4 linked regions of the Lonchura striata genome follow. The protein of the gene in region 1 purifies or fractionates together with the protein of each later gene. This does not show direct contact. Links are inferred from orthologs where the notes say so. Each region holds a gene or a part of one and is shown in the gene's direction. Other genes may lie near its edges. The genes, in order: SP1, CEBPB, PRKCD and SMAD4.

The links.
Region 2: the proteins of SP1 (region 1) and CEBPB purify together in Homo sapiens (affinity purification with western blotting; 4 studies listed by BioGRID, with this or other methods). This does not show direct contact. The link is inferred for Lonchura striata from reciprocal best matches to the Homo sapiens genes SP1 and CEBPB.
Region 3: the proteins of SP1 (region 1) and PRKCD purify together in Homo sapiens (affinity purification with western blotting; 3 studies listed by BioGRID, with this or other methods). This does not show direct contact. The link is inferred for Lonchura striata from reciprocal best matches to the Homo sapiens genes SP1 and PRKCD.
Region 4: the proteins of SP1 (region 1) and SMAD4 purify together in Homo sapiens (affinity purification with western blotting; 4 studies listed by BioGRID and IntAct, with this or other methods). This does not show direct contact. The link is inferred for Lonchura striata from reciprocal best matches to the Homo sapiens genes SP1 and SMAD4.

What each region holds. Positions count from the first base shown.
Region 1 is NC_134629.1:8,069,523-8,077,412, forward strand, and holds the start of SP1 (transcription factor Sp1), read left to right. Parts: upstream 1-4,871; 5' UTR 4,872-4,909; coding exon 4,910-4,916; intron 4,917-5,351; exon of another isoform or gene 5,352-5,590; intron 5,591-5,899; coding exon 5,900-5,994; intron 5,995-6,563; coding exon 6,564-7,890. UniProt on the Homo sapiens protein: Transcription factor that can activate or repress transcription in response to physiological and pathological stimuli.
Region 2 is NC_134619.1:966,729-973,158, forward strand, and holds CEBPB (CCAAT/enhancer-binding protein beta), read left to right. Parts: upstream 1-4,657; 5' UTR 4,658-4,930; coding exon 4,931-5,905; 3' UTR 5,906-5,920; downstream 5,921-6,430. UniProt on the Homo sapiens protein: Important transcription factor regulating the expression of genes involved in immune and inflammatory responses. Also plays a significant role in adipogenesis, as well as in the gluconeogenic pathway, liver regeneration, and hematopoiesis.
Region 3 is NC_134614.1:8,628,292-8,635,833, reverse strand, and holds the start of PRKCD (protein kinase C delta type), read left to right. Parts: upstream 1-4,540; 5' UTR 4,541-4,680; intron 4,681-7,542.
Region 4 is NC_134642.1:1,015,995-1,023,018, reverse strand, and holds the start of SMAD4 (mothers against decapentaplegic homolog 4), read left to right. Parts: upstream 1-4,024; 5' UTR 4,025-4,278; intron 4,279-7,024. UniProt on the Homo sapiens protein: In muscle physiology, plays a central role in the balance between atrophy and hypertrophy. When recruited by MSTN, promotes atrophy response via phosphorylated SMAD2/4.

The sequences.
Region 1 (7,890 bases):
CCCCGTGTGCCCCGGGACCCTTCAAAGCGCGGCGGCCGCGCGGGGGGGCGGCGGCGGGGGCTGATTACAGGGCGGCGCCGGGCTCGGCCGCCCACGGCCCCGCGGCCGCGCCGGGCCCCCGCAATTACCCGGTATTTATACCCGGCCGGACGCCGGGACCTCGCCAGGGCGGGGGGGACACGGAGCGGGGGGGCTCCGTCCACGGGCAGCCGGCCAGCCACCGTCCGTCTGTCCATCCCTCCCTCCATCCTCCTCTCCATCCCTCCTTCCCATCCCTCCCCCGTTTATCAGCGTGGCTCCGGAGCTGGCACGAATTTGAGGGGGCTCAGCCGCTCTGTCCCAAATCTGAGGGGATCTCAGCTCCACCATGACACGAGTTTGGGGGGTCTCAGCCCCCTGAGATGAGTCTTGGGGGGGTCTCAGCACGACAGGGGTTGCAGGGCCGGAGGTGTCCCTGTCCCCATCCCGGTCCCCGGGGCCAGGAAACGCTCCGTGCCCGGTGCGGGGGTCCCGGCAGTGCTGTCCCCCCCGATCCCCGCGGTGTCGGCGGGGGCACCGCAGCCCCTCGGGGTCGGGGGGGGGAAGCGGAACCAGCTCGGGGATCCCCGCGTCCCCCCACCCCTCACCTGGCGCGGTGTCCCCCGTGTCCCCCCGGCCCGGCCCTGCCCCGCCCGCCCTCCCCGGCCCCCGGATGTTTCCCTTGCGGTCGGAGGCCCCGAAATAGCGCAGCCCCCGCGCTGGGTGCGCCGGCCACGGCCGCCCACGGGCCCCGCGGGACCGGGGGGACCGGCGGAGGCTCCGAGGGCTCGGAACTGGGCCGAGCTCCCCCCACCCAGCACCACCCACGGGGGGCACCCGGTGTTCGGAGCCCTCCCGGGCATCCCAGAGATGCCCCTCAGCAAGGCGGGGCACAGGGAGGGTCTGCGGGGCAGGAGGAAAGCGGGGGGAAGGTGGGGGGCAGGAGGAGCCGGGGGACGTGTGGGGACACGGGGCTGGACGGGGACAGGGACCTGCAGGGACAGAGGGGCACCCGCAGTGGGGCTGGGGGGCTCCCACCCACGGGGAAGCCAGCGCAGGGTGGCCCCGGGGCTGAGCTGCGCCCGCGGCCCCGGTGTTTCCTCCCACCCTTTAATTATCCCGGAATTATCCCTGGAAATAACTGCGGGGGGCGGGGGGGGAGACACGGGCACCGAGCCGGACGGACCCCCGGTGGGGACAGACGGACCGGGGACAGACCCCGGGCAGGCCCCGGGGGACAGGGTGGCCTTGGGGGGACAGTGGTGTCCCGGAGGTACAGGGTGGTCCCGGGGGTACAGGGTGGTCCCGGGGGGACAGGGTGCTCCCGGGGGGACAGCGGTGTCCCGGGGGTACAGGGTGGTCCCGGGGGGACAGGTACAGTGGTGCCCCGGGGGTACAGGGTGGTCTCGGTGGTACAGGGTGCCCCGGGGGGACAGGGTGGTCCCGGGGGGACAGGTACAGGGTGGTCCCGGGGGGACAGGTACAGTGGTGCCCCGGGGGTACAGGGTGGTCTCGGTGGTACAGCGGTGCCCCGGTGGTACAGTGGTGCCCCGGGGGGACAGCGGTGCCCCGGTGGTACAGGGTGATCCCGGGGGGACAGGTACAGTGGTGCCCCGGTGGTACAGGGTGCCCCGGGGGGACAGGGTGGTCCTGGGGGGACAGTGGTGCCCCGGGGGGACAGGGTGGTCCCGGGGGTACAGGGTGCTCCCGGGGGGACAGCGGTGGCCCCCAGCACCGCGGGCACCCCGAGCCCGCCCCCCGGTCCGTGTGCTCCCCCCGTGTCCCCCCCGCCATGTGGCTCCCATTGCGCTGCGGTGCCGAAGCCACATCAGAGCGGTGGCAGCGGCAGCCGCGGGGGCGGCACCGGGGGCCTGGCCCCCCCTCCGGCTGCTGAAGGACCCCCGCAGGCTGCGAGAGGAGCCCCCCAAGCTGCCACCGTGCCCCCTGTCCCCTCCAAGCTGCCGAAACCCTCCCATGGAAATCTGGGGTACCCCACCTGCTCCCCAAGCTGCCAGGGACTCCCCCCACGCCTGGACACCCCCTCCCCCAATATCCCGGGACCCCTCCACGCTGCCAGGGACCCCCCTGACCCTGGGACCACCCCCAGCCTGCAGCGACCCCTCCCCAGCCCTGAGCCCCCCAGGATGCCCCGGGTGTCTCAGCCCCCGGTGCCTTGTGTCCCCCCCCGGTCCCCCCGGGGCTGTGACCCCCCGGTCCCGTGCTCCCCCCCCGGTCCCCCGCCCGTCGCTGTCCCCGGGCCGATCCGCCCTGGCTCGCGCCGCGCTGCATTTCTGCGGTTCCCAACCCAAAATTGCTGGGAGTCGCCCGGCGTCGCCCTGATTCCTCCGCGGCCGCGACCTGCCGGGGGAGGGGGGGACCCAGAGGGACAATCGGGGGGTGGCAGCGGGGGTGGGGCACCCCAGGCTAACCCCGCTGCCCCCCCCGGCCCGCCCCAGTGCTCCCAGTTTGCCCCCAGTCCAAGGCTGAGGCTCCTCTGTCCCCGTGCCCTGAGCCGCCCCGGCCAGGGGGAGGCGGGGACAGCGACACGATGGGGACAGGACAGGCCTGGGGACAGCAGCAGAGGGAGCGCAGGGACAGTGCAGGGTTGGGGACACTTCTGGGGACACGGGACAGGACAGCACCCGGATGTGAGAACCCCGGGGACAGGACAGGGCTGAGGACAGAGATGGGGACAGAACAGGGCAGGGATGGAGGCACTGTGTGGGACAGGACAGGGCAGCTTTGGGGACACCCTTGGGGGCACGACACGACGGGGGACACTGCTAGGGACGCTCCTGGTGCCAGGACAGGACCAGTGACAGTGCTGGTGCCAGGGCAGGACCAGTGGCAGTCGGTGCCCAGGTCCCACTGTGGTGGGTGACAGTCGGTGACACTGTCAGTGATAGTCGGTGACCGTTGGTGCCCGGGTCCTGTCATGGCGGGTGACAGTCGGTGACACTGTCGGTGACACGGTGACACTGTCGGTGACACTGTCGGTGACACGGTGACACTGCCGGTGACACTGTCGGTGACACTGTCGGTGACACTGCCGGTGACACGGTGACACTGCCGGTGACACTCGGTGACACTGTCGGTGACACTGCCGGTGACACGGTGACACTGCCGGTGCCCGTGGCGCCCCCGCCAGGCGGCAGCAAAGCCTCGGGCCCGGGGGCGGCACCGCCCGGCCGCGACCACCGGGGGGCGCGCGGGGACACGGGGGAGGGGTCCCGGGGCAGGGAGGGGTTAATTGGGGGTGTTAATTGGAGGAGGCCCGACGGGGCTGGGGGGCCATGGGTGTCCCCAGAGGGGGCAGTTACCGGAGGGGGTCACCGGGACAAGGACCCGGCTGGGATAACGGGGTGAGGGGGGGTCTGACGGGCCAGGACCTGCCCTCGACCCCCCAGCCCAGCGCAGCCCCCGGGCTCAGCTCCGGTGGCAGGACGGGGACAGTCCCGGTGACCACCCCAGGTGCCACCATCGCGGGTCACAAGGGGACACCGAGTGACCCCCATGGTCCGGGGGACAGGGCAGGGACAGGATGGGGACAGGGCAGGGACAGGACAGGGACAAGAGGGGGACAGGGCAGGGAAGGGACAGGATGGGGACAGGGAAGGGACAAGAGTGGGACACGGCAGGGACAGGGCAGGGACAGGGAAGGGAAGGGATAAGGCAGAGACAGGGCAGGGACAGGGAAGGGCCAGGGTCAGAGCCAGGTTGTCCCCAAGCCCCGTCGGGTGCGGGGCCGAGGCCGCGGGGCCTTCCCGGGCTGCGGGGTGGGAATTGGGCCGAAAACAGCGGGAAATGGGAGGGTCACGGGGGGCGATTTTGACGGTGGAAAGCGAAACCAAGGCCGGGCCGTGTCCCTCGCTGTCCCTGCCGCCCCCAAAGCGCCCCTTTTGCTGTGAAATGAAGGATCTGGGCCCCAAAGCCCCCAGGCCGCGCTCCCACGGCAAGGGCGGCCGGGCTGCCCGCTGTGTCGGGACAGGGCGATGTCGTGACAGGGCTCTGGGCTTCACACAGCTCCTGAGGACGTGTCGCGCCGCCATGGCGGCTGTCGCGACACGGCCGAGCCGTCTTGCGGCACGGAGCGGGGACTCGAGGAGGGAAGAGCCGCACGCAGCCCGCGGTACCGAGGCGGGGACAGCCCCGGCCGGGCCCGGGGAGCGCGGCCGGCCCTGAGGGAGCCGAGCCCAACATGGCGGCGCCGCCATCCGCCGCGCCGTCCCCCCAAGGGCGCAGCCCGGCCGCTGGCCCCGCCCCCCCGCGGCGCCCATTGGCCCGTTTGAGACCGAGCGGCGCTCTGATTGGCTGCGGGCCGCGCCGCGGCTGCCGCCTCCGCGCTCGGATTAGCGGCCGCTACCATCACTATCGGCTCCTCTCCCGCCCCGCGGCGCGGCCCGCGCAGCCGGTTGGCGCGGGGCGCTGCCGGTGACCGCCACGCCCGGCCTCCCGCGCCCCATTGGCGGCGGCGCACGTTCATCACGCCGCGGCCCGCGCCGCCGCGGCCGCGCCCATACGGGGTCTCCCTGCGAGCCCGCGCGGGCGCCGATTGGCTGAGCCGCCGCCCGCCCCCTCCCCCCCGCGCCCCCATTGGCCGCCGCCCCGCCGCGCTCCCCCTCCCCCACGGGGCGGGGTGCCGGGGGCGGGGACCGCCCGCCCTCCTCTCCCCCCGCGCCGCACCGCCCTCTCTTCCCATTGGCCGCGCTGCCCGTCGCTCCGCCGCTCGCGCGGCGCCCATTGGCTGCGGGGGCGGCGGGGGCGGGGCGCGGGGCTGCGGCCGCGGCGCGCGGCCCCTCCCTCGGCAGCCCCTCGGCGGCACCGGCGGGTTCGGCCGCTCGCCCGCCCGCGCCCCCGCCCCGCCCCGCGCGCCCGGCCCGGCCCCGGCACCATGAGCGGTAAGGACGGGGCCGGGGCCGAGCGCCGCGCGGGGCCCCGGGCACACGCACAGGCGGCGGCGCCCGCCCGCTCGGAGGGGCCAGAGGCGGCCCCGCCCCGCCGGGCCGGGCCCCGCCGGGCCGGGCCTCGCCGCGCCGCGCCGGGGGGACCTGCCGGGGGAGGGACCCGGGGGAGGGGGGAAGGCCTCGGGGGAGGGACCGGCGGCCGCGCCGGGCAGGGCTGGAGCGGAGGAGGGGGCGGCGGGGAGTGATGGGGAGGCCCCGGGGAGCGGGGCTGGGGGCGGGGGGGGGCGGCCGAGATCCCGGGGGAGGGGGCGCGGGGACGGCGGGGGAGGCCGCGGGGGTGGGCGGCTGCGGGCGCAGCGGCCCGGGGGCTTTCCCCCGGAGCCGGGCACGGCGCCCTGCGGGGGCGGATGCGGGAGCCGGGGGCGGGGGGGCCGTGCGGGAGCCGCGGGAAGGAGCGAGCGGCCGGGGGCGTTGCGCGCCCCGTCCCCGGTGCAGACCCCGGTGAGGGGTGCTGGGGTGACGGCAGCAGCGGGGCGCAGCCCCGGTGCCCGGCGGAGGATGAGGAGGCGGCTGAGCGCCGGCAGAGCGAGGACTTGGTGGGAGAGGAGCCCCCCGCGCTGGGGGCGCCGCGGGCGGGCAGCCCCGGGCCGGGGATCCCGCGGCGGGAGGTGCGTGCCCCGGCCGGGCGACGGGAGCGCCGGGGAGCTCCTCGGCGGGGGCCAGGGAGTGTCCCGGGCGGCCGGGGAGGAGCCGGGCCCTGGAGCGCGGCCGGGACCTCCCCCCCTGTCCCGCTGCCAGCTCCTCTTTGGCAGCTCCCCGCGCTCCGCAGCCCCTTCCCGGCGGCGCCGGCAGCGCGTGGTCCCCCCGCAGCCAGCCCGCCGTGTCCCCTCCGGGCCCTGCCTGGCCCTGCCGAGCCTCGTGCCGCTGCCCTGCCCCAAAATGTCCCTAACCGGGGCTGTCCCTTCCCTCCTGCGCAGACCAAGAGAGCACCGAGGAGATGTCGGCTGTGAAGCCCGACAAGGGCGAAGGCGACGCCAGCAGCACGAGCAGCGCCGGCGGTGGGGACACGCAGGTGAGTGGGGGAGGATCGGCCCCGCTGGCCCCGGGGAGCCCGTGGCAAAGTCCAGGCCCGGGCTGAGCTGTCTGCCGGGCCCGGGCAAGCGTTTCAGCCCGGGCAGGAAGAGGAGGGTGAGCGCTGCCAAGCAGCGCCGGTGCCTTCCCCTCCTCCCCGGCTCTCCTCGGAAACACGCAGTTCCCCTGCTCCCGGTGACACCACGGCCCCCGCTGGCCCGTCTCCAGCTCGGGGAGCCCGGGAATGACCCTCCTTCCTGGGGGTTCGTCGTGCCTCAGGGGGATTGCCCGGCTCGGCAGTGGAGGAGCCCTCTCCTCTCTTGGCTTTCCCGGGCAGGCTCCCTCCCAAAAGGCTTTTCCGTGTGGGTTCAGGCTGTCCCGGCCTGTCAGCCTTGTGCCTGGCAGTTGTATTTTTCCGGCTGTGGGTGGGTTTGTTCAGGAAGGAGTGTTTATCTTTTCCGAGTATGCTCCTCCCTGTTTTCTTAAGTTGGTTTTTTAATTATTTTTTTTTGTTTCCCCGTTGTTTTTTTTTTTTTTCACTCCGGGCCTGCCCCTCGGGCCGCCTCCCAGCCCCGTAACTCCTCCTCTCGTCCCCAGGAGTCACAGCCGTCCCCGCTGGCCCTGCTGGCAGCCACCTGCAGCCGCATCGAGTCTCCCAATGAGAACTCCAACAGCTCCCAGGGCCAGCAGGGTGGGAGCGGCGAGCTGGACCTGAACGCGGCCGCCGCCCAGCTCACCCAGTCGTCCAACGGCTGGCAGATCATCTCGGCAGGCTCCAGCACCCCCACGGGCTCCAAGGAGCCGGGCAGCAACGGCAGCAACGGCGGCGACGCCTCCAAGAGCCGCCCGGTCAGCACCGGGCCCTACGTGGTCACCTCGGCGTCCGGCCTGCAGAACCAGCAGGTGCTGACGGGCCTGCCGGGCGTCATCCCCAACATCCAGTACCAGGTGATCCCCCAGTTCCAGACCATCGACGGGCAGCAGCTGCAGTTTGCCACCACCCCGGCGCAGGTGAACGTGCAGCAGGATGCCTCGGGGCAGCTGCAGATCATCCCCGGCTCCAACCAGCAGATCATCACGAGCCGTGCGGGCGGCAGCAACCTCATCGCCATGCCCAACCTGCTGCAGCAGGCCGTGCCCATCCAGGGCGTGGGGCTGGCCAACAACAGCCTCTCCGGGCAGACCCAGTACGTGGCCAACGTGCCCGTGGCCCTGAACGGCAACATCACCCTGCTGCCGGTCAACAGCGTGGCCGCCAGCCTGGCCCCCACGTCCCAGACGGGCACCCTCAGCAGCTCGGGCTCGCCGGACAGCAGCTCCCAGCCGGCCACCTCGGGGGCTGCCAGCAGCTCGGGCAGCACGGCCACATCCCAGGCCAGCTCGGGCGCTTTCTTCACCAACGCCAACAGCTACTCCACCACCACCACCACCAGTAACGTGGGCGTCATGAATTTCTCCACCAGCGCCACGGTGGGCACCAACGTGCAGTCACAGACCCCCCAGAGGGCCAGCAGCGTCCCCAGCTCGGACTCTCTGCAGACCCCGGTGTCCGGGGTGGCCCTGCAGCCGGGGCAGCAGAAGGAGGGGGATCAGAGTCAGCAGTCGCAGCAGCAGCAGCAGCAGCTCCTGATCCAGCCACAGCTGGTCCAAGGAGGGCAGACGATCCAAGCCCTCCAGACCACCCCGCTGTCTGGGCAGACCTTTGCCACTCAAGCCATCTCCCAAGACACCTTGCAGAACCTGCAGCTCCAAGCCGTGCCCAACTCCGGCCCCATCATCATCCGCACGCCCACGGTGGGTCCCAACGGGCAGGTGAGCTGGCAGACCATCCAGCTGCAGAACCTGCAGGTGCAGAACCCCCAGGCGCAGACAATCACGCTGGCCCCCATGCAGGGAG
Region 2 (6,430 bases), on another chromosome or scaffold:
TATGTTGCCCCTTGCCATACACCCCATGGAGTTCAGGCTGTCTGTCCCACAGCCTCAGGACTGCAGAAGAGTTCTCTTTTAGAAATTTCCTAAATGAATTACCAAGTCCTGTTACTAGGAACTTCTGACACTCTGTAGGGTACCCTGGAAGGGTAGAATTCATCTCTCTTGATGGATCTTTTGAAAGCTTGGATACTCCAGATGTCATAAATGCATGACCTGTAACAAATTCATCAAAGCAGGAGGCTGCAATTACCCAGGAAATGTCAGGCAATTACAGAGAACTTTTGAAACTTAGTGGACAGCAACTTCTCTGCCATTTTAATGGAGCACAAGGAAACGGGCTACTCATAAAATACAGCCACCTCTCACTGTCTCTGCTCAGACTGCCAGCCCACATCCTTCCAACAGACAGCTCCTGCAGGGACTTTGCCATGCAGGATGGAGATTGTGGCCTGTGCTTCCATGGGCCTTGGTGTCCTGACTCTTCCTCCTTTCCTTGTTTCTCAGCGCCACAGGGTGGCTGCTCTGACCTCAGGTTTGCTCTGGAAAGTTTTCAGTCTGGTCGGGAGGGCATTTGGCTGATGTTGTCCCACTGGAGTCAGTCTCCAGGTGTCGTCTCCACTCACCCGCTGGGGCAAAGAGCAGCGTGGAGATAAAGGGGATTGAGCAACGCAGCGCTGCAAAGGCCAAGCCTGCTGGGTCAGAGGTGAGAGAAAATCAGCAGAAGACCAACAAAAAGCATGTCCCAGCCCATCACCGTGTCCCACGGGAACAGGGTGAGGGAGCTGGGGGCAGGACCCCGGTCTGTAACAAAAGAAGAGAAGGAGGCCACAGACACAGCCTGCCCCTGGGACTGCCAGCGCGGCACCAGCCACGGGGCAGCAGGGCAAAGCTGTGGCAATCCCTTTTCGTGTTCAAATGAAGCAAAGTCTCGAGCCTGGCCTGAGCTGGGCAGACAGATGGAGAGCCAGCCTCTCCCTTGAGCTGAGACATTGTCCCTGCCTGGCATTCATCAAGGGCTGTTGTTTTACAGCAGAGAACAGCAAGTGAAGAGCAATGGTTTCAAACCTGTGCTCTGCCAGGTGCAGCTGCTGAGTTGCTGTTGGCATATGGTGTGCAGCTGAATAAAGAGAGACCTGGGGCTAGGCAGAAGGGAAAAAAGGGCTCAACATGCTCAGAAATAAATTTCAATGTTACTTCTCTATTCTACAGCCTTTATTGCAACACTGTTCTTTTAGGCAAGGTCCCCTCCTACCCCCCAGAGACCTTCCGTGCTTGTTTGCAGGGACGCTGCTCTGGGGTCCCTCCCGTTCCCCTCCTCACCTCCAACCCCTCCCGCAGCACCTCAGGCACTGCTGTGGCTGCCGGCTGCTGGCATCGCCCTCCTGCCCGCTGCCCTGCTCTGCCCCTCTGCTGCTGCACGAGCAGCTCCAGCACCAGGCAGCTCTGATCTTACTGACCTGCTGAGAGCGACTGCCAGGGGAATAATAAATGGGGCAAAACTGAGCAAGAAACATCAGAAATGTCAGCCAGGCTCTTTCCAGAGACCTTCTGATAAACACTCCAGTGTCTGAGCCATCCCCACTAAACTCACAGCATCTCCCCAAAGCTGGTGTCGTTCCAGAGGCAGCTGCTGTAGACCTGGAGTGTGTGAACTGGAAAGTTTGCAAGAAATCCTGGAAAAGAAGACAATTTCCAGGAAGAAAATTCCTCTGCGATGCTTTACTGTGGGTCTGAGCTGCAAAGTTGAGGCTTCCACAATACAAAAAGAGAGAGCAGAGTTTAATTCATGACAGAGATGAGCAGTGAGGATGAGATTCTTCCCTCCACCTTTTCACCATGCTGGTCTCCTTCTGTTCCCCTCCCTTTGTCTGGATTGTTTTACATATGAATGTAGAGGAACCTGGATGCTATTGCATCAGAATTTTTTCTCAAAAATGTTATATTCTTACTAAGTAATTTGGGACTTTTGCTGTCTCCTCCCTTAGCTGAATAGTTCTGAAAAAAAAAAGAAATTATGAAATCACTAGAAGGAAGGTGCTTTTCACAGAAGTGCTGCTTTTATAATGAAAATTGCTCTGCTGGGAGACAAGCTGAAGGGCTGCTGCCAGTGCCTGGGTCCCTTAACCAGGAATGTCTGCATCTCCCTGCCTAAAGCACCTCTGAGGAGCTTTTCAGGCCAATTTTCAGGACAATTATTAGCAGTCTCTGCACATCTGGCAAGGCCGAGCCAGGCACTCACAGGCACGGAGCCCTGTGTGCCCAGACCTCGGCTCAGTCCTGCGGTGTGAGCCTCGTTCTGCACCTGCTCCCATTTCCAAATCCCCACTCGTGGCCGTGCATTTGTTGTGACAAGTGCAGAAATAATTTAAAAGAGACCAGAGTTAGCCCCAAACCTGCTTGCCGAACGCTGGGGTTTTGGATCCGTGGTTAGTCCCGCCAACAAGGTTCCCATGAGAAGCTGGGAGCGGACGTTGGCCCCAGGAGAGTGGATGCTGGGATTTGAGGTGAGCTGGAGGAAGTTGAAAGGGATCCAGGCAGAGCAGGGAGGTGAGGGGGAGAGGGAAGGAGGGGACAGGCTGGGCAGCGGCCTGGATTGCCGCCCGGCTGGCGCGGTGGGGTGACTGCAGGATTACTCAGCGTGGGCCGGCAGGATCTGCTCCGCGCGGCAGCGGCGCGGACGTTTCACTGCCTTTTGTCAGGGAAGGTCAACCCCGGCAGGAATACAGCTTTCTGCTGCACAGCAGCCGAGGGCAGGGCAGAAATCTGAAGAGGGCAAACGCAGATCCCCAAAACCGTCGTGAAAATCTCTTCAAGAACTTCACCGAGCAGCTTTAGCATTCGGCTTCAGCTGAGGACCACGGCGAGCTGTGGACACGTCGGGGCGATGCCAAGGCAGACCAGCTGTGCCTGCAGCGGGTCAGTGCCCAGGAGGGCTCCTGCCCTGGGGCCCTGGGACGGTTTGGGGTAGGAAACACCAGACTGGTTTTTAAGAGTTCGGTTGGAAGGGCCAGTTAGGGCAGCCACTGGATGTAACTGCCAGATCAGAATGCAGGATAAAGGCACAGGATGAGGGAGTAAACAGCCAGAAGAACAAGCCCTGGCTCACTGCAGCTTGCCAGTATTTGCACCCAATACAGATGTTTGTATTTATGAAGGTATGGGCTCCAACTACAATCTCCAGACCCAGCTCTCTGGCCAGGCCCAGCTCCAACTTAATCTCTAGTGCATTCACCAAAGATTAACTTGGTAGATAAAGATGGAACTAGAAATATTTGAAGCCTGAAAACCTGTTAGGGAGCTTTTGTTATGGAAACAAACAAATAAATCCTATTAAAACGTGAAAAGAAAAATAAAAAAAAAAGAGAAAGAAAAAGTCTGATGATCCACTGACTGATTCTTAAATTCTTCCTCTTTTCAGAGTTCTGAGGTTTGAACATTAAGAACAGTTGACTGTTTGAATCATATAATGCAATACCTGTTCCTCTGGCTTAACGTTACAATATTTCCCACACCGCAGGATTGCTTCACATTATTCTAAGAGGCAGTGTCATTTTCCCTGCAGTGCTAGGTCTTCTTTACTGAGGGAGGACACTCCTACTTCCTTTAATTATATGTTTTGTTTTAAATTAATGTCCTTTATTCTGGGCATGAATCATCAGCTTGTAGACAGGTAAATGTGGGAGTAAGAGAGTGAAAATATAAGTTTGATTCCCAAGGTGGGTGTCTTTAATTAAAACGGACATCGGGATTCAGTCTTCCTTCCCAAACTTACCCCGCAAATCTCAAAACTTTTGGATTCCACCCTCTGATGCACGAACCTCACTCTCCTCTGGCCCCCATTCCGTCTCCTTTGGCTCCAGAGCCGGTTCCCTGCTCCCGGCTCCCGTGGGTGCCCTGACAGTTGCCCCACATCGTGCAGAGCAAATATGCCAAGACAAACGCTAGGGCCCCCATGGGTGCTGGAAGCGCCGGGAGGCAGCGCTGGCTTGGCCGGGCTCCGGTGCTGCGGCCGCCAGGAGGAGGCCGGGGCAGTGCCCTGCTCCAGCCCCATCGCTCGGCCCCGGGCTCGCCGCTGCCCAGCGGCTCTGGGCACGTCCCTGTGGCACTTCTGTGCCAGTGGGATTCGCCAAAGCGAGCCCGGGACGCCGAGTAACGGGATCCGGCTTTGGTGTGCAGCTTTCCCCCTTCTTTGCCAAAAGAACTTGGAAAAATCTCTCTTGCCTTGACTTCCCCTAGGGAAGCGGAGCGATCTGTGCCCAGCCCCGGGCACTGCCAGCCCCGGGCACTGCCAGCCCCTCGCTGTGCGGGCCCCGGCAGAGCCCGGGCGGGCACGGGGCAGCGGCAGCGCCCGGCACACGCTGTCCCCGGGGCCGCCCGCTGCCCTGCCCGCTGCCCGCTGCCGTCCCGGCCGGCCCTGGCCGCGGCAGCCCCGACCTCCCGCACCTGCGGGCCCGCAGCCCGGCCCCTCCCTCCGGCCCGGCCCGGTGCACTGTGGGCGGCCCGGCGGGCACCGCTCGGCACCGGCGCGCCCGCCCCGGGAGCCTCCTCCGGGGCCGGGACCGGCAGCGCCGAGCGTGCGGAGTGGCAGGCGGCCAGGCGGTGACGCGCCTGTTGCTATGGGATCCACCGCCCCTATAAATAACTGGGGAAAGGAACTTTCCTAAGTCAGAGACTTTAGGACACGGGACCCAGAACCAGATGGTCCGGAGGAGACGCGCCAGCCCCCGCCGCAGCTGCCGGAGCGGTGAAGCCCCGGCGCGCCGCAGGGACTGATCCAGCCCGGCCGGGCAGCGCCGCGGGGCCGTGCCCAGGCCAGAGACCGCGGCAGGGTCTGGAGCCCCCCACCCTGACGGCGGCAGCTTGAGCCTCTGCCGGGGGGGGTCCCCTGCGTCGTTTCCTCCTCCCCGCATCCCCCTTTGCTTTCATGCAACGCCTGGTGGCCTGGGACGCAGCATGCCTCCCCATCCAGCCGCCCGCCTTTAAATCCATGGAAGTGGCTAATTTCTATTACGAGGCGGACTGTCTGGCTGCTCTCAACAAGCTGCACCCGCGGGCGGCCGGGGGCCGCTCCATGACCGAGCTCACCGTCGGGGACCACGAGCGAGCCATCGACTTCAGCCCGTACCTGGAGCCCTTGGCGTCGCAGCCGCCGCCTCCCGCGGCAGCAGCAGGGGGCAACTTTGAGCCTCCGTGCAGCAGCGGCGCCGGCCAAGATTTCCTTTCCGATCTCTTCGCCGAGGACTATAAAGGCAGCGGCGGCGGCAAGAAGCCCGACTACACCTACATCAGCCTCGCCCGGCACGGCCACCCCTGCGCCAGCCAGAGCCACAAGCCGGGGGGGCTGCAGGGCTGCTTCCCGCCCCAGATCGTGGAAACCAAAGTGGAGCCGGTCTTCGAGACCCTGGACTCTTGCAAAGGGCCCCGGAAGGAAGAAGGGGGCGCGGGGCCGGGACCGGGGGGCATGTCCTCGCCCTACGGCAGCACCGTGCGCTCCTACCTGGGTTACCAGTCGGTGCCGAGCGGCAGCAGCGGGAACCTGTCCACCTCATCCTCCTCCAGCCCCCCCGGCACCCCCAACCCCTCCGAGTCCTCCAAGTCCGCCGCCGCCGGCGGGGGCTACTCCGCCGCCCCGGCGGGCAAGAACAAGCCCAAGAAGTGCGTGGACAAGCACAGCGACGAGTACAAGCTCCGCCGGGAGAGGAACAACATCGCGGTGCGCAAGAGCCGCGACAAAGCCAAAATGCGCAACCTGGAGACTCAGCATAAAGTCTTGGAACTGACGGCCGAGAACGAGCGGCTGCAGAAGAAGGTGGAGCAGCTCTCCCGGGAGCTGAGCACCCTCAGGAACTTGTTCAAACAGCTGCCCGAGCCCCTGCTCGCCTCCTCGCCGCGCTGCTGACCCCCGGCCGGGCGGCGGGGCAGCGGAGCCGCCGCTTCTTCCCGGCCCCGCTCCGCGCTCCGGGGCCGGGGCGAGGGCCCGAGAGCCCGCGGCGGGCGGGCGGCTTTGGTTTTCATTTGCGTTGTTGTTGTTGTTGTTGGATTTTTGTTTTTTTTTTTTGTCTCTATCGACATGTTGGCGGAAGGCTCCGCCGCCGCGCGGGGTCTGAGCGGGGCCGGGGCTGCAGCGGGGCGGGCGGGGGGACCCCGGCCCCGGCCCGGGCGGGCTCTGCTGGGCGCTGGGTTATTTAAAAGAGCGAGAGGAGAGCAAGGGCAAAGTGATGCAATCCTTTAAGCATGGCTGGGAATGCTGTGTACATGATGCAATCTCGTGTAACTGTCAGTCATGGATTGAGTAATCTGTTAAAGATGTTCCTACAGTTTTTTTATTATAAAGAATAATCTATTTCTATAAGAAAATACATATGTATATTTTGGGATCTATGCATTCTTGCTACATTTGAAGCATTAATGAACAATTTTAATA
Region 3 (7,542 bases), on another chromosome or scaffold:
CTCCTAAACCTTAAATTAAGACCAAAAATCATTTTTTTTTCAAAAGAGATGAAAAACCAACCAAGAAATCAGAAAACATTGCTTGTGTTCTTTCACAGCACGGTTTTCTCAGAGGAATATAAAACCAACTGTGAATAGGACTGTGGTGAGCAAGAAAATTGCTTCCTGCAATACATACACTTCCTTGTTCTCCCATCTATATTAACTAACAGCAAAAAAAAGCTGTCATAAGGGGAAGTAGAACACTTACATTGCTCAGAATCAACATTGGCAGCTGGCATGTTGAAACCAAATGTAAGGGGGTGTAGGCAGCAAACACCATAAAAACCTTTTTCTAATTTCAATTATTCTTAAAAACTAACTACAGTCTCCAATGTTCAAAATGCAGGGATCAGTCTCCTACCCTCAACAACAGAAGGCAGCATGGGGATATTTGTAAAACTTCAAGAGACTTTGTGTTCCTCTTATACGTAGCCCAGATTTTCAATCCTTTAGGAACTCCAAGATGACATGTGCATGTACCTTCTGGACAAACACAAAAAATAGGTTTTATTTAAGAAAGACAAAAAAAAAAATAAAAAGCCCAAGATTTTAATCCAATTACTTCCTCAAGGAAATAAGGCTTTAAAAGCACCAAACATAACAAGAATTGGCAATGCTCTAAGCAGGCATTTCAGCAAAACAGTCAGGAAACTATTCACTTGTCTGGTTTATAAATGAATCTTATATAAAAGTTCCTTCAAATGATCAGAACTTTGGAGTGGTCGGGATATAAGCATATCTCATTTTAATCTCAAATTCTTAAGGTTCTATTCTGATAACAAAAAAGCCTCTGCAGTAACTTAGTTACACAAACATGTTGAAATTCACATGATTGCATCTGACACCAGGATCTTCGCCAGCACAGCCACTAACTTCTACATCTCATACTCCAGGAAAAAAAAAAAAAAAAAAAATCATTCCACTTAAACTCTGCTAGGCACAGAATATTACTCATATTCAAGCTCTAAAACACAGCAAATGAAGCACAGAGATGATAATTTCTCCTAGGTGTAGTGCCTATCCACAGTCTCTCCCCTGCAGAGTGCTCTTGCCTGTTGCACAGGCACATGCAACATCCATACAAGCGAACCCTGACAAAGTAGGAAAAACACAACTCAGCTCCAAGTTTGAAAAAAATGGCAAGCAGACCAACTCAAAGAAAAAACTCTTCCTTAATCAGTATAAAAAACTGCAAAGATAAGCAGTAGAAATTAATGTATGTTGTTATCAAAAGAATCTTTAAAGTTACAAGGTCAGGAAAGGCAGCCTTATTCCTGTTTCACCTGGACATCAGCCCAAGTTTATGGCACCCAGGCCTTCACGTGACCAAATCAGTATCTGTCTCATTGCTAATCCATAAAGAGTTCATGCCCTTCACAGAGAAAAGCATGAAAACCTGGAGGAAAAGCCTGACAGAGAATACAAGCCTCTCATCTCAACCTTAAGGCAAAGCTGAAGACAATGAACAATGCTCAGAACACTTCAAAAAGTGAATCTACACAATAGACCACAGACCCGTGTAGAAGGTTATGGGTGGAAACTCCCACCACCACCAGACTCTTCACACCTCCCACCACTATCAGAAAAGAGGAAATGAGAGCCGGCATTTGGTGGTTAGGCTTGGGACTGAGAGACCAGTGAAGTCCTGCTACAAAGTGGGGCTGTGAAAAAAAAAATGGCAGCAACGGCCATGACTGTTTTCTGTTCTGAAATTACACTTTTGCAAAAGGCTTCATCTTTGCATAAATGAGGTATCTACCATCAGGATTAAAATCAGGTTTGTTTGCTGGAGGTAACAGATACTGTAGATATAGTCTTTCAGCTCACAATAGGTTATTACACACTTGTGAAAAGCAATTTTGCACCAGTCTGCCTCAGAAATCTTCAGAGAAGCAGTTCTTAACTTCCACTAGAAAATTTTTGTTTATATTTGCTGCAGAAAATTTTATCTCTAACTTTTGTTTCTAATGTGCATGTTCAAAGTCACATCACCCCTTACTGTCATCCTATCATATGGCAAAAATTAAGTGACCCCAGGTAAAGCAGGTTTTCTCTATGTGAAAATACAAGAGAAAATCCAGCTGTGGGAGGCCCTGGTAGTTCATCTTCTCCCCAGAGATCCCCTGGAACAAAGCAGTGATTTACCATGGGATTGGGAATTATTGGGATGTCTATCCAGCTACCAAAGAGATGACATGTTTTAACTCAGCTTGAGACTGTTTTCTTTTTTTGAAATATCCAAAGGCACATTTCAGGAAAATGGATCAGAGACAGTAATGCCCTTTTCCTTTCCAATAGTTACCCTGTAATCACTATGAAATCTAGTATTTCTTCCTATTTACTTAGAAGCTGACAGAGAGTACTGCTAAAGGATGTTCACTTAGAACTGATTTTCATCCCCCTCTCAAATCCACTGGACATAAAATGGCTTAATAAAGCCTTCTGAGCTGCATTAAAATCTATTCTGAGGAAAGACTCTCTCCAGCTGTAGGAGCATTTCCATGCATTAAGCACAGCTAAGTTGTATAGGAAAAATTACAGAAAATAGGCAGCAAGAAAGTCTCAGTACCAGGAAACACCTCAAATTTCTAAAGTCACATTAATAGCTGAGAAGACTCTCGCATTTCATTTCCTGTGGATCAAATTTTTACATCTTTACTCAGCCCTAATCCAACTTGAGCCCATTGTCTGAGCAAAGATGTGAGAGGCAAAGCTCTTTAGGTCTTGCAAAATTTTCCACAGTCCAAATGAGAAATGACTCTTTGTTTCAGAAAGACTTGGACAAAAGTAATGCTCTAAATAATTGAAATACAGCAGTAGTTAACTAATGGTCTGCTGCAACATTATATGGTCAGGTCACAAATGAAAATGGACTCTCTCTGACCATTTACATGCCATTAAATGCTCAAAGAGCATGAAGCTAAATAAAATAAATTTTAAAGCACTGTTTCCAAACTTCTCTGGACATATTGAAATGAGGAAAATTCCTCACTATAATTAGCTTCTGCTTTTTCTTCTCTCATTCAAACTAGTTTTAGTTTTGCTTTTATTACATGACATTCATTAACTGCTCAAGCATATAAAGCTTCTCCAGATTTCAGCATAACAGCAGCCTATATGATTTTAAATGAGGGTCCTCATACAATTTATTACAGCACTATAGCTAATCAGATTACATTCTCTCCCCAAACAGAGAAATATTATTAAATGTTCCAGCCAAAAACAACACCCCACACTTAATCATGCGTAAGAACATGTATCTGTACAAAATACTACATAGTTTAATTTGCAGCAGAAGTAGAAAGGAAATTACCTCAGATGACTCTGTTCCTTTGCTTTCACCCAAACTGTAATATATCTACTAGAGCTCTCAATTTTGAAAAATATTTCTTCAAATTAGACTCTTCAAGTATAAATTAACTATTGACTGATTTATATGCCTATTATAGCCTTTCCAAGATGATGTCAGACAGCACAAGCAAGGAACTTTGACATTACCTTATAACTGTCAAGTGAAATGTTCTGGAAAGAAGCTGGACATCACATGGGTGGAATTTGGCGTTTCAGAATGGACTCTGCAGCAATGTAACAGCTGGGTCACAGCCCCTGCAGTGGTGACATCCGCACTGCACACCAGGGGCTGGCACCTGCCCAGAGAAAAACCCAGTTACCACAGCACCACAGAAACACTGGGAATTTCATCACCGTTTTCAGCTAGAGCTGAATGAGGTCATTTAAGATGAAAACCTGAGAGCAATTCTACATGACCTGTGCGAGTTAAAAAGTGATGACAAAGGTCTGCCTTGAAGTATAAAGGTGTTTTCTCTGGTTCCTACACTTTACCCATTCCTGTGCTGCACCCCATCCCTAAAATACCTCATTTTAAAACAAACGCTTACAGCACTTGAAGAAACACCGAGCCCCATCACTCAGAGCAGAGCACGGACTGGGGTAGCCCCGGCTGGGACCCAAAATGACCCCGTGAAGGCCTCCAAGGCTGAGGTCTCTGAAGTGAGCTCGCTCAGGCGACGGCAGCGACCGCAGAGCTACGCGGTTCGGCCGTGGCTTCTAAGCCATTAAGGAATGTTTTAACCAAAACCGCAGTAAAGGCTGAGGACACCTGAGCACAGCTCAGCCCTGCAGACGGGCAGGGGCTCGCTCCGAGCTCCGGCACCTCAAACCCCGGTGCTTCCCCGAGTCCGGGTGACCAGCGGAACAACACCTCCCAAACCCCAACCACCACAAGAGCGCTGCCGCGGCCCCTCCCTCCCTCGGCACGGCACCGAGCCTCGGGCGGGGCTCCCCCTGAGGGCTCGGGCGCTGCCACACGCGGCCAGCGCCAGGGGAGAGGAGAGCAGGGGCAGCAGGGCGGGGACGAGCCGCGGGGAGCCCGGCAGGGACGGCCGGCGCCTGGCACGGCAGCTCGGGGCGGGGCGGCGGCAGGAGCAGGTGAGCGTGGCCGCAGCCGCGCCGGGGCGGGGCGGAGCGCGGGGCCGGGCCGGGCCGGGCCGTGCCGGGCACACTCTGCTGCCTCCCGCCCGCCGCTCCGCCCGCACTCCTTCGCTCTCGCTCTCTGTTTCCCGGGACAGCGCCCGAAACTCGGCGGTGGCCGCGGCTCCCGACGGCTCTCCGGACGCGGTGAGTGCCCGTACCTGCCCCCGGCGCGGCGCTGCCGCCGCCCGGCAGTTCCTGCCCCGCCTGGGGTGAAGGAGGAAGCGAGACGGGCTCCGGCTCCCTCCGGCCCGCCCGGCTTCCGTGGGGCGCCCGGCGCGCAGAGCGAGCGGGAGGAAGAGCGAGGGTGCCGGGGCTCAGCCGCCGTGCCCCGTGTGCCCCGGGCAGCGCCCCGGCGCCGGCTGGGGCGGGAGGCGGCGGGGCTGCGCCCCCGGCCCGGGGCTGCCTCCCCCGAGCCTCCATGCTGGGTGCGGGGATGGGGCTGCGCCCCCGGCCCGGGGCTGCCTCCCCCGAGCCTCCATGCTGGGTGCGGGGATGGGGCTGCGCCCCCGGCCCGGGGCTGCCTCCCCCGAGCCTCTATACTGGGTGTGGGGATGGGGCTGCGGCCCCGGCCCGCCCGAGCCCCCTCGGCCGCTGGGGAGCGGGGCGAGCCCGGGGGCTGCGGCGGGCACAGCGCTGTGCCCCGTGCGGGCGGGCGGCGAGACCCCGGGGTCCGTCCCTGACAGGAGCGTGGAGTCTCCTCCCGGCAGAAGTAACGACTTTGATACCACCAACTTTTTCTACCACCTGACTCTCTGTTCAGCCTCCGTGCTGCAGTGAGTTTGGGCAGATGAAATGCACAGTCTTTCGAATGGTCAGTTTCCAGCTGAATGGCGACAGACAGTAAGAAATGAAGGAGCAGGAATGCCTGATGCTTTTGTGTACGTACATGCCAGCCGTGCATCTATTAAAAAACAATTTTCAGTTCATTGCTAGAGAATTCCCCACTTGCATCAGAGCATGAAATATTAAAATAATTGGATTACAGCATTTTGTGGTTACATCTGACATTAGTTTACTTGCGGGCCCTGATTGTTGTTGCACCACTTCACTTCTAGATTGTCCAAGTAGCACTGAAGCAGAGAGCAGAGTGTAGATCTGGACCTAGGAGGTTTATGTGCAAGGATGACACTGCCCTGTATCCCATCCTTTCATATGTCCGAGGAGAGAACTGACTCTGCAGAGCAGATGGGTGTGGGAAAATCAGTTCTAGTACTAGATCTCTACCTAGTTTTAGAGACTTGTTTAAAGCCTGAACTGCCATGTTTAGTATCTCTACAAATAACCAGTATAAAAATCCTTGATACCCTTGCAGTGTGTTTTGTTCCTTTTAAATCTTTTTTGCTCCAGACTTGTACAGTCAACAGTCTATTAACAATGTAATAGCAACTTAACTCTTTAGCTTTCAGTCTGTCAAATAATGCCATGCAGCACTGTGCTAATCACATAGGAAGCTGTAAGCAACATAGATTTCTGAGCAGGAACACTATGAAGAACTGCTTCTTAAGTGGTTAAGCAGTAATTCATAAGCATTTTTTAAGTGTATATGCAGGGTTTCCTGTTTATTTTAGTTTTGAAAATGGCTGTGTTAAAAATGAGCTGTGTGTCTTTGGACTGATAGATTTCAGTCACCCCATGTCACTGCTGTGGAAACCTACAAATACTAAGGAAAGGAAACAAACCTGCAAAACATGGGTTTAGGGTTTTTTTTTTTAATGTTTCTGATCCTCATCTTAGATTTCATAATAAAATACAGGTGTGTGCTTTAATTTAAGAAATTATTAAATGCTGGCATTTTCAGTTTCTTTGACCCACACAGTTTTGCTATGTTTTGTAAAATTGAATACATCTAAGTTCTAAGGACATATGATTTTCAGAATGAAGTGCATTATTTTTGAAACTTCAGCTAAAAAATTCAAAGGTGCAATAGGATATTTCACTAGTTGTTATTATTTTCCTGCACTGCTAAACACAAAAGAACTTAGGGGCAGCGCAAAAGAATTTAGATTTGGGAATCCTTTGAGATTTTCATCCTGTATCTCATAATTCAGATTTAGGTATGAAGGAATTGCTGCCACTCAGTGGCTGACACAAACATACAGAAAAATATATTCAGTTACACAGATGTGATGTTCTCTGTGGGTAATGGGAAAGTTATAAGGTGATTCTACTCAGGCAATATGTGTGACATAATTAATCAGGAAGATGCTCGTATTGTTATCACCAGAAAAGAGCTCATTGTTAATTTCTTTGCCATTTTGTGCTTCATTAATTAAAACCCACCTTTTCATTAGACATAATCATACAGTAGGGTCCTGTTTTTTTAATTGAATGGAATAGTGAAATAGCATAATAATTTTTACTTTTTGGTCACACAACATAGATGAAAAGATACTCTGTACAGAAGGAATTATTTAGAAACTATTTCTAACTTATAACTTACATTTTCTAGGTACATTTCTTAAAAAGAAATCTTTAGAAGAATCCCTTAAAGATAACTTGGCTAATTGATGCTATATAGATCTAGGAAATAACAATAAATCTTGGAAAGATGCCGTCTGTTACTAAAGTAACTGATTTCCCAGGAAAAGCATAGAAGCTTTCAGGCTTCAGAGTTTATTTTGACGTCTAAAAGCCGCAGTCATTACAAGTAAAGTCCATTCAGAGTAAGTCCCATCCCTGGAAGTGTTCAGGGCCAGGCTGAACAGGACTTTAAGCAAGCTGCTCTAGTGGAAGGTGTCCCTGCCTGTGCCAAGGGGGTGGAACTGGGTGGTCTTTAAGGTCCCTACCAACCTTTACCAGCCCGTGATTCTGGTGAGTACTTTAGGGCCTAATAGCTTAAATTAACCGTCCATCCTTGTTCCCATTTGAAGGGCTGCACTGTCAGCCTGCCTCTGTGCCGAGGCACAAATCTGCCCTCTGCCCAGCCACAGCTGGAGCTCAGCTCTGCTGCTGCTCCCACAGAGAGGGGCCCCTTCCCCACCTCTCAGTGCCAGCTGTGCCTGGAGG
Region 4 (7,024 bases), on another chromosome or scaffold:
GGAAGGGGGACGGAAGGAGACGTGAAAAGTTTTGTGACAGCATTTTGTTGCTGTTGTGGGGGTATTTTTTGTGTTTTTTGGGGATTTTGTTTTGATTTGTTTGTTGCTGTTATGATTTTGTTTGTTTTTTGTGTTCTTTTTCTAACAGGCTTTGGAAAGAGTTGTCTCTCGCTGCGCTACGTTTGTCTGTAAGGAGCAGCGGTTAATTATCCGCCTGGCGTGGTTTTGGTTCCAGAAATGTGCGTCCTGCCGAGCCGGCAGGGCTGGCCCAGCTCTCCCTGAAATCCGAGGATTGGCGCGGAGCCACGGGGACAGCTGAGCGCATTTTGTGTTATGAATGGCGAATTATTAATTTGTGTTCATAATTAAATTCATTATTGTTGTTATTAACAATAGGAACACGGCGATGGGCAGCTCGGGGCAGTGGCTTTGGAACAGAGGTGTTTATAAACACAGGGTGCTCCGGGGCACTGCCAGAGCCCAGCTCACCCCTCTGGCTGCCCTGGCTGTCCCCAGACCCTGGCACAAGACAAAAACACCCGTGGCTTTGATTTTAGCCCATGGAAAAAGCTGCCAACTCTGTGTGAGGAGTTACAAGCCACAAGGGTTTGAGTGGCGTGGTGGTTGAATTAACACAGGGTGAAAAAGTAGAATTTTGGGGGTTTTCCAGTGGGGTTCAAGGGGACAAGATGGAGGGATTTGAGCATGTCCTGGCCTTCTCCTTCTCCTCCTTCTCCTTCTCCTTCTCCTTCTTCTTCTCTTCTCCTTCTTCTCCTTCTCCTTTTCCTTCTCCTTCTCCTTCTTCTCCTTCTCCTTCTCTTCTTCTCCTTCTCCTTCTCCTTCTCCTTCTCCTTCTCCTTCTCCTTCTCCTTCTCCTTCTCCTTCTCCTTCTCCTTCTCCTTCTCCTCTTCTCCTCCTTCTCCTTCTCCTTCTCCTTCTCCTTCTCCTTCTCCTTCTCCTTCTCCTCTTCTCCTCCTTCTCCTTCTCCTTCTCCTTCTCCTTCTCCTTCTCCTTCTCCTTCTCCTTCTCCTTCTCCTTCTCCTTCTCCTTCTCCTTCTCCTTCTCCTTCTCCTTCTCCTTCTCCTTCTTCTTCTCTTCTCCTTCTTCTCCTTCTCCTTCTCCTTCTCCTTCTCCTTCTCTTCTCCTCCTTCTCCTTCTCCTTCCCTTCTCCTTCTCCTTCTCCTTCTCCTTCTCCTTCCCTTCTCCTTCTCCTTCTCCTTCTCCTTCTCCTTCTCCTTCTCCTTCCCTTCTCCTTCTCCTTCTCCTTCTCCTTCTCCTTCTCCTTCTCCTTCTCTTCTCCTTCTCCTTCTCTTCTCCTTCTCCTTCTCTTCTCCTTCTCCTTCTCCTTCTCCTTCTCCTTCTCCTTCTCCTTCTCCTTCTCCTTCTCCTTCTCCTTCTCCTTCTCCTTCTCCTTCTCCTTCCCTTCTCCTTCTCCTTCCCTTCTCCTTCTCCTTCTCCTTCTCCTTCTCCTTCTCCTTCTCCTTCTCCTTCTCCTTCTCCTTCTCCTTCTCCTTCTCCTTCTCCTTCTCCTTCTCTTCTCCTTCTCCTTCTCCTTGCCCTCCATGTCTTGCTGTGCTGGTGACACTTTTCTGTTGGTTTAAGGTACAGACAAACTGTCCAACATAAATCATAGGTACTACAAACTATGTTTACATTATTGTAAGAGGTAGTTTTTGGTGTAGAATGTAAACACCATCCCAAGGGCGGATTCTGTGCACAGTGACCTGCTGGACAGAGCGCAGCTCCTTGAGAAAGAACGCTGCAGATAATAGAGAATTAACAACCTCGAGAAACCAACCCTATGCATTCCCACTCCTGCTTCGGCTGGGTGGGCTGGAAGAAAGGAATTTTGGAATTCTCGGGGTCACCTCCGCTGCCAGAGCCCCGAGAGCTGGGATGCGATGCAACGCTTGTGCTGCAGGGGTGGTTCTGCACGGCACCCAGCCCCGATGCAGCGGCCCTGCAGCTCCTGCAATGAAAACCAGCCCCGACATTGTCCCCAAGCTCACAAGGCCTCTCCAAGAGCTGAGTTCAGGGTGGCACTGCCAGGTTCACCACACAAACCCCAGCACTTCCGCTGGGTGTGAGGAGATCTCCTTGGCTGAGGGTGCAGGTGGCTGCAGGCAGAAGGGGCTGTGCTCGTTATCTCTTTAATTAGTGCTAATTCAACCCGCCCCTGGCACGCGGGGTGCTGCTGTGGGGCTGGCCAAGGCGGCAGGGCCACGAGTGCCCGGTGTGGGACACCGCCTTGGGCTGGAGATCTCATCTCCCAGCCAGAATTCCTCCAGGAAAAGGTAATTTGTGCCTCACCCGGCGAATCCTGGTGCGGAGAGGCTGCAATTACACCTAGGGATGACAAATGCAGCAGTATTATATATTGCTTTTCAACCTAAGGCCTTCAGCGTGTGGAAGTGACTGTAAATGACTGAACAGCAAGAGCAGGAAAAGTTTTGACAGGGCAACACAACAATTTTTTAAAATTCCCATTATTCTTGGTTCTCATTAGGGCGGCTGTGACAGCGCGCCAGTGCCTTGCCAAAATCCTGTTGGACTCAGGAAAAGCACATCGCATTTTTCCGGGGGCACAGCACATCCTGCCCTGTGTCCAATGCCAGCTCCACACTGCGAGGGCAGGAATGTCCAAGGCTTCAGTTCTAAAACAGCTTTTCCTTTCCAGCCGAGCTGGCCTGGGGAGATGAGGAGAGGGGAGGCAGAGCTGCGGGCAGGGCTGCGAGTGCCAAATTCTGGGAGAGTTCCTGAGGAGCTGGGAAGGGGCTGGAGAGTTCCTGAGGAGCTGGGAAGGGAATGGAGAGTTCCTGAGGAGCTGGGAAGGGAATGGAGAGTTCCTGAGGAGCTGGGAAGGGAATGGAGAGTTCCTGAGGAGCTGGGAAGGGAATGGAGAGTTCCTGAGGAGCTGGGAAGGGGCTGGAGAGTTCCTGAGGAGCTGGGAAGGGGCTGGAGAGTTCCTGAGGGAGCTGGGAAGGGGCTGGAGAGTTCCTGAGGGAGCTGGGAAGGGGCTGAGCCTGGAGCAAAGGAGGCTCAGGGGGACCTTGTGGCTCTGCACAGCTCCTGACAGGAGGGGACAGCCGGGGGGGATTTGTGATCTGTTCCCAGGGAACAGGGACAGGAGGAGAGGGAACGGCCTCAGGCTGGGCCAGGGCAGCTCAGGGTGGAACCAGCAGGAATTTCCCCATGGAAGGGGGCTCAGGAACTGGAACTGCCCAGGGAGGGTTGGATCCCATCCCTGGAGTGCCCAGGGAGGGTCCGTGTCCCGCAGAGCTCGGGGGTGCTGCCAGGGTGGGGAAGGGATGCTGCCCGCACTCCTGGTTCCCTGGGGCTATCCCGCATCCTGCATCCCGTGGGATGCTGTGGGATCCAGTGGGATCCCGTGGGACACTCTGGGATCCCGTGGGATGCTGTGGGATCCAGCATAATGATGGGGGCTCCATTGGGATCCCGTGGGATTCCATGGGATCCATAGTGACGCTGTGTGATACAGTGGGATGCTGGGGGTTCCCGTGGGATGCTGTGGGATCCTGTGAGATCCCGTGGGATGCAGCGGGATCCAGTGGGACCCAGCTGGACCCTGTGGAATCCAGTGGGATGCTGTGGATTGCTGTGGGATGCTGTGGAATCCAGTGGGATGCAGTGGAATCCCTTGATATCCCGTGGGATGCAGTGGGATCCCGTGATATCCCGTGGGATGCAGTGGGATCCCGTGATATCCCGTGGGATGCAGCGAAATCCCGGTTCCCCGGAGCGCAGCCCGCCCGCTCCGCTCTCCCCGCGGCGCGCCGCCCGCCAACCACAAACACAACGCGCCCGCCCGCGCAGGCGCCGCGGGACCCGGATGTGGCGGATGCGCGGCGGGACCCGGATGTGGCGCATGCGCGGCGGGACCCGGATGTGGCGCATGCGCGGCGGGACCCGGATATGGCGGATGCGCCACGGGGCCCGGATGTGGCGCATGCGCGGCGGGACCCGGATGTGGCGCATGCGCGGCGGGACCCGGATGTGGCGCAGGCGCGGCGGGACCCGGATGTGGCGCATGCGCGGTGGCAGCGGCCCGGACGTGTCGGGACCAGCGGCGGCGGCGAAAGCGACCGGAGCGAGCGGGACACGGGCACGGGCACGGGCACAGCACCGGCACAGCACCGGCACCGCACCGGCACCGACACCTCGGCAGCGGCAGCGGCGCCGGGGCTGCCCCGAGCCGCCGCCGCCGCGCCCGGGCCGGAGGCCCCGGCCTGCCCGCGCCCCCTCGGCGGCCGCGCCCAGGTAAGGCCGGACCGGCCGGGCCCGCGCCCGGGACCCTTCCCCGAACCGCGGCACCGGCCCGGCTCCCCGCGGGACGGCCCCGGGGCCGGAGCCGGGACACCGCGCTGGGCCGGGGAAACACCGCCCGGCCCGGAACAAAGTTTGGGATGTGGGAAGGGAACGGGCGAGCAGACACAGCGAGCAGCGCAGAGTGGAGAGCGACCCAGGGATCCTGTGCCCAGAGTGACCCAGGGATCCTGTGCCCACACTGACCAGGGATCCTGTGCCCAGAGTGACCCAGGGATCCTGTGCCCAGAGTGACCCAGGGATCCTGTGCCCAGAGTGACCAGGGATCCTGTGCCCAGAGTGACCCAGGGATCCTGTGCCCACACTGACCAGGGATCCTGTGCCCAGAGTGACCCAGGGATCCTGTGCCCACACTGACCAGGGATCCTGTGCCCACACTGACCAGGGATCCTGTGCCCACACTGACCAGGGATCCTGTGCCCACACTGACCAGGGATCCTGTGCCCAGAGTGACCCAGGGATCCTGTGCCCAGAGTGACCAGGGATCCTGTGCCCAGAGTGACCAGGGATCCTGTGCCCAGAGTGACCCAGGGATCCTGTGCCCAGAGTGACCAGGGATCCTGTGCCCACACTGACCAGGGATCCTGTGCCCAGAGTGACCCAGGGATCCTGTGCCCAGAGTGACCCAGGGATCCTGTGCCCACACTGACCAGGGATCCTGTGCCCACACTGACCAGGGATCCTGTGCCCAGAGTGACCCAGGGATCCTGTGCCCAGAGTGACCAGGGATCCTGTGCCCACACTGACCAGGGATCCTGTGCCCAGAGTGACCCAGGGATCCTGTGCCCAGAGTGACCCAGGGATCCTGTGCCCACACTGACCAGGGATCCTGTGCCCAGAGTGACCCAGGGATCCTGTGCCCAGAGTGACCAGGGATCCTGTGCCCACACTGACCAGGGATCCTGTGCCCAGAGTGACCAGGGATCCTGTGCCCAGAGTGACCAGGGATCCTGTGCCCAGAGTGACCCAGGGATCCTGTGCCCACACTGACCAGGGATCCTGTGCCCAGAGTGACCCAGGGATCCTGTGCCCACACTGACCAGGGATCCTGTGCCCACACTGACCAGGGATCCTGTGCCCAGAGTGACCCAGGGATCCTGTGCCCAGAGTGACCAGGGATCCTGTGCCCAGAGTGACCCAGGGATCCTGTGCCCAGAGTGACCCAGGGATCCTGTGCCCACACTGACCAGGGATCCTGTGCCCACACTGACCAGGGATCCTGTGCCCAGAGTGACCCAGGGATCCTGTGCCCAGAGTGACCAGGGATCCTGTGCCCACACTGACCAGGGATCCTGTGCCCAGAGTGACCCAGGGATCCTGTGCCCAGAGTGACCCAGGGATCCTGTGCCCACACTGACCAGGGATCCTGTGCCCAGAGTGACCCAGGGATCCTGTGCCCAGAGTGACCAGGGATCCTGTGCCCACACTGACCAGGGATCCTGTGCCCAGAGTGACCAGGGATCCTGTGCCCAGAGTGACCAGGGATCCTGTGCCCAGAGTGACCCAGGGATCCTGTGCCCACACTGACCAGGGATCCTGTGCCCAGAGTGACCCAGGGATCCTGTGCCCACACTGACCAGGGATCCTGTGCCCACACTGACCAGGGATCCTGTGCCCAGAGTGACCCAGGGATCCTGTGCCCAGAGTGACCAGGGATCCTGTGCCCAGAGTGACCAGGGATCCTGTGCCCAGAGTGACCCAGGGATCCTGTGCCCAGAGTGACCAGGGATCCTGTGCCCACACTGACCAGGGATCCTGTGCCCACACTGACCAGGGATCCTGTGCCCAGAGTGACCAGGGATCCTGTGCCCAGAGTGACCCAGGGATCCTGTGCCCACACTGACCAGGGATCCTGTGCCCAGAGTGACCCAGGGATCCTGTGCCCAGAGTGACCAGGGATCCTGTGCCCACACTGACCAGGGATCCTGTGCCCACACTGACCCAGGGATCCTGTGCCCACACTGACCAGGGATCCTGTGCCCAGAGTGACCCAGGGATCCTGTGCCCAGAGTGACCAGGGATCCTGTGCCCAGAGTGACCCAGGGATCCTGTGCCCACACTGACCAGGGATCCTGTGCCCAGAGTGACCAGGGATCCTGTGCCCACACTGACCCAGGGATCCTGTGCCCACACTGACCAGGGATCCTGTGCCCAGAGTGACCAGGGATCCTGTGCCCACACTGACCAGGGATCCTGTGCCCACACTGACCCAGGGATCCTGTGCCCACACTGACCAGGGATCCTGTGCCCACACTGACCAGGGATCCTGTGCCCACACTGACCAGGGATCCTGTGCCCACACTGACCAGGGATCCTGTGCCCACACTGACCAGGGATCCTGTGCCCACACTGACCAGGGATCCTGTGCCCACACTGACCAGGGATCCTGTGCCCAGAGTGACCCAGGGATCCTGTGCCCAGAGTGACCAGGGATCCTGTGCCCACACTGACCAGGGATCCTGTGCCCACACTGACCAGGGATCCTGTGCCCACACTGACCAGGGATCCTGTGCCCACACTGACCAGGGATCCTGTGCCCAGAGTGACCAGGGATCCTGTGCCCACACTGACCAGGGATCCTGTGCCCAGAGTGACCAGGGATCCTGTGCCCAGAGTGACCCAGGGATCCTGTGCCCACACTGACCAGGGATCCTGTGCCCAGAGTGACCCAGGGATCCTG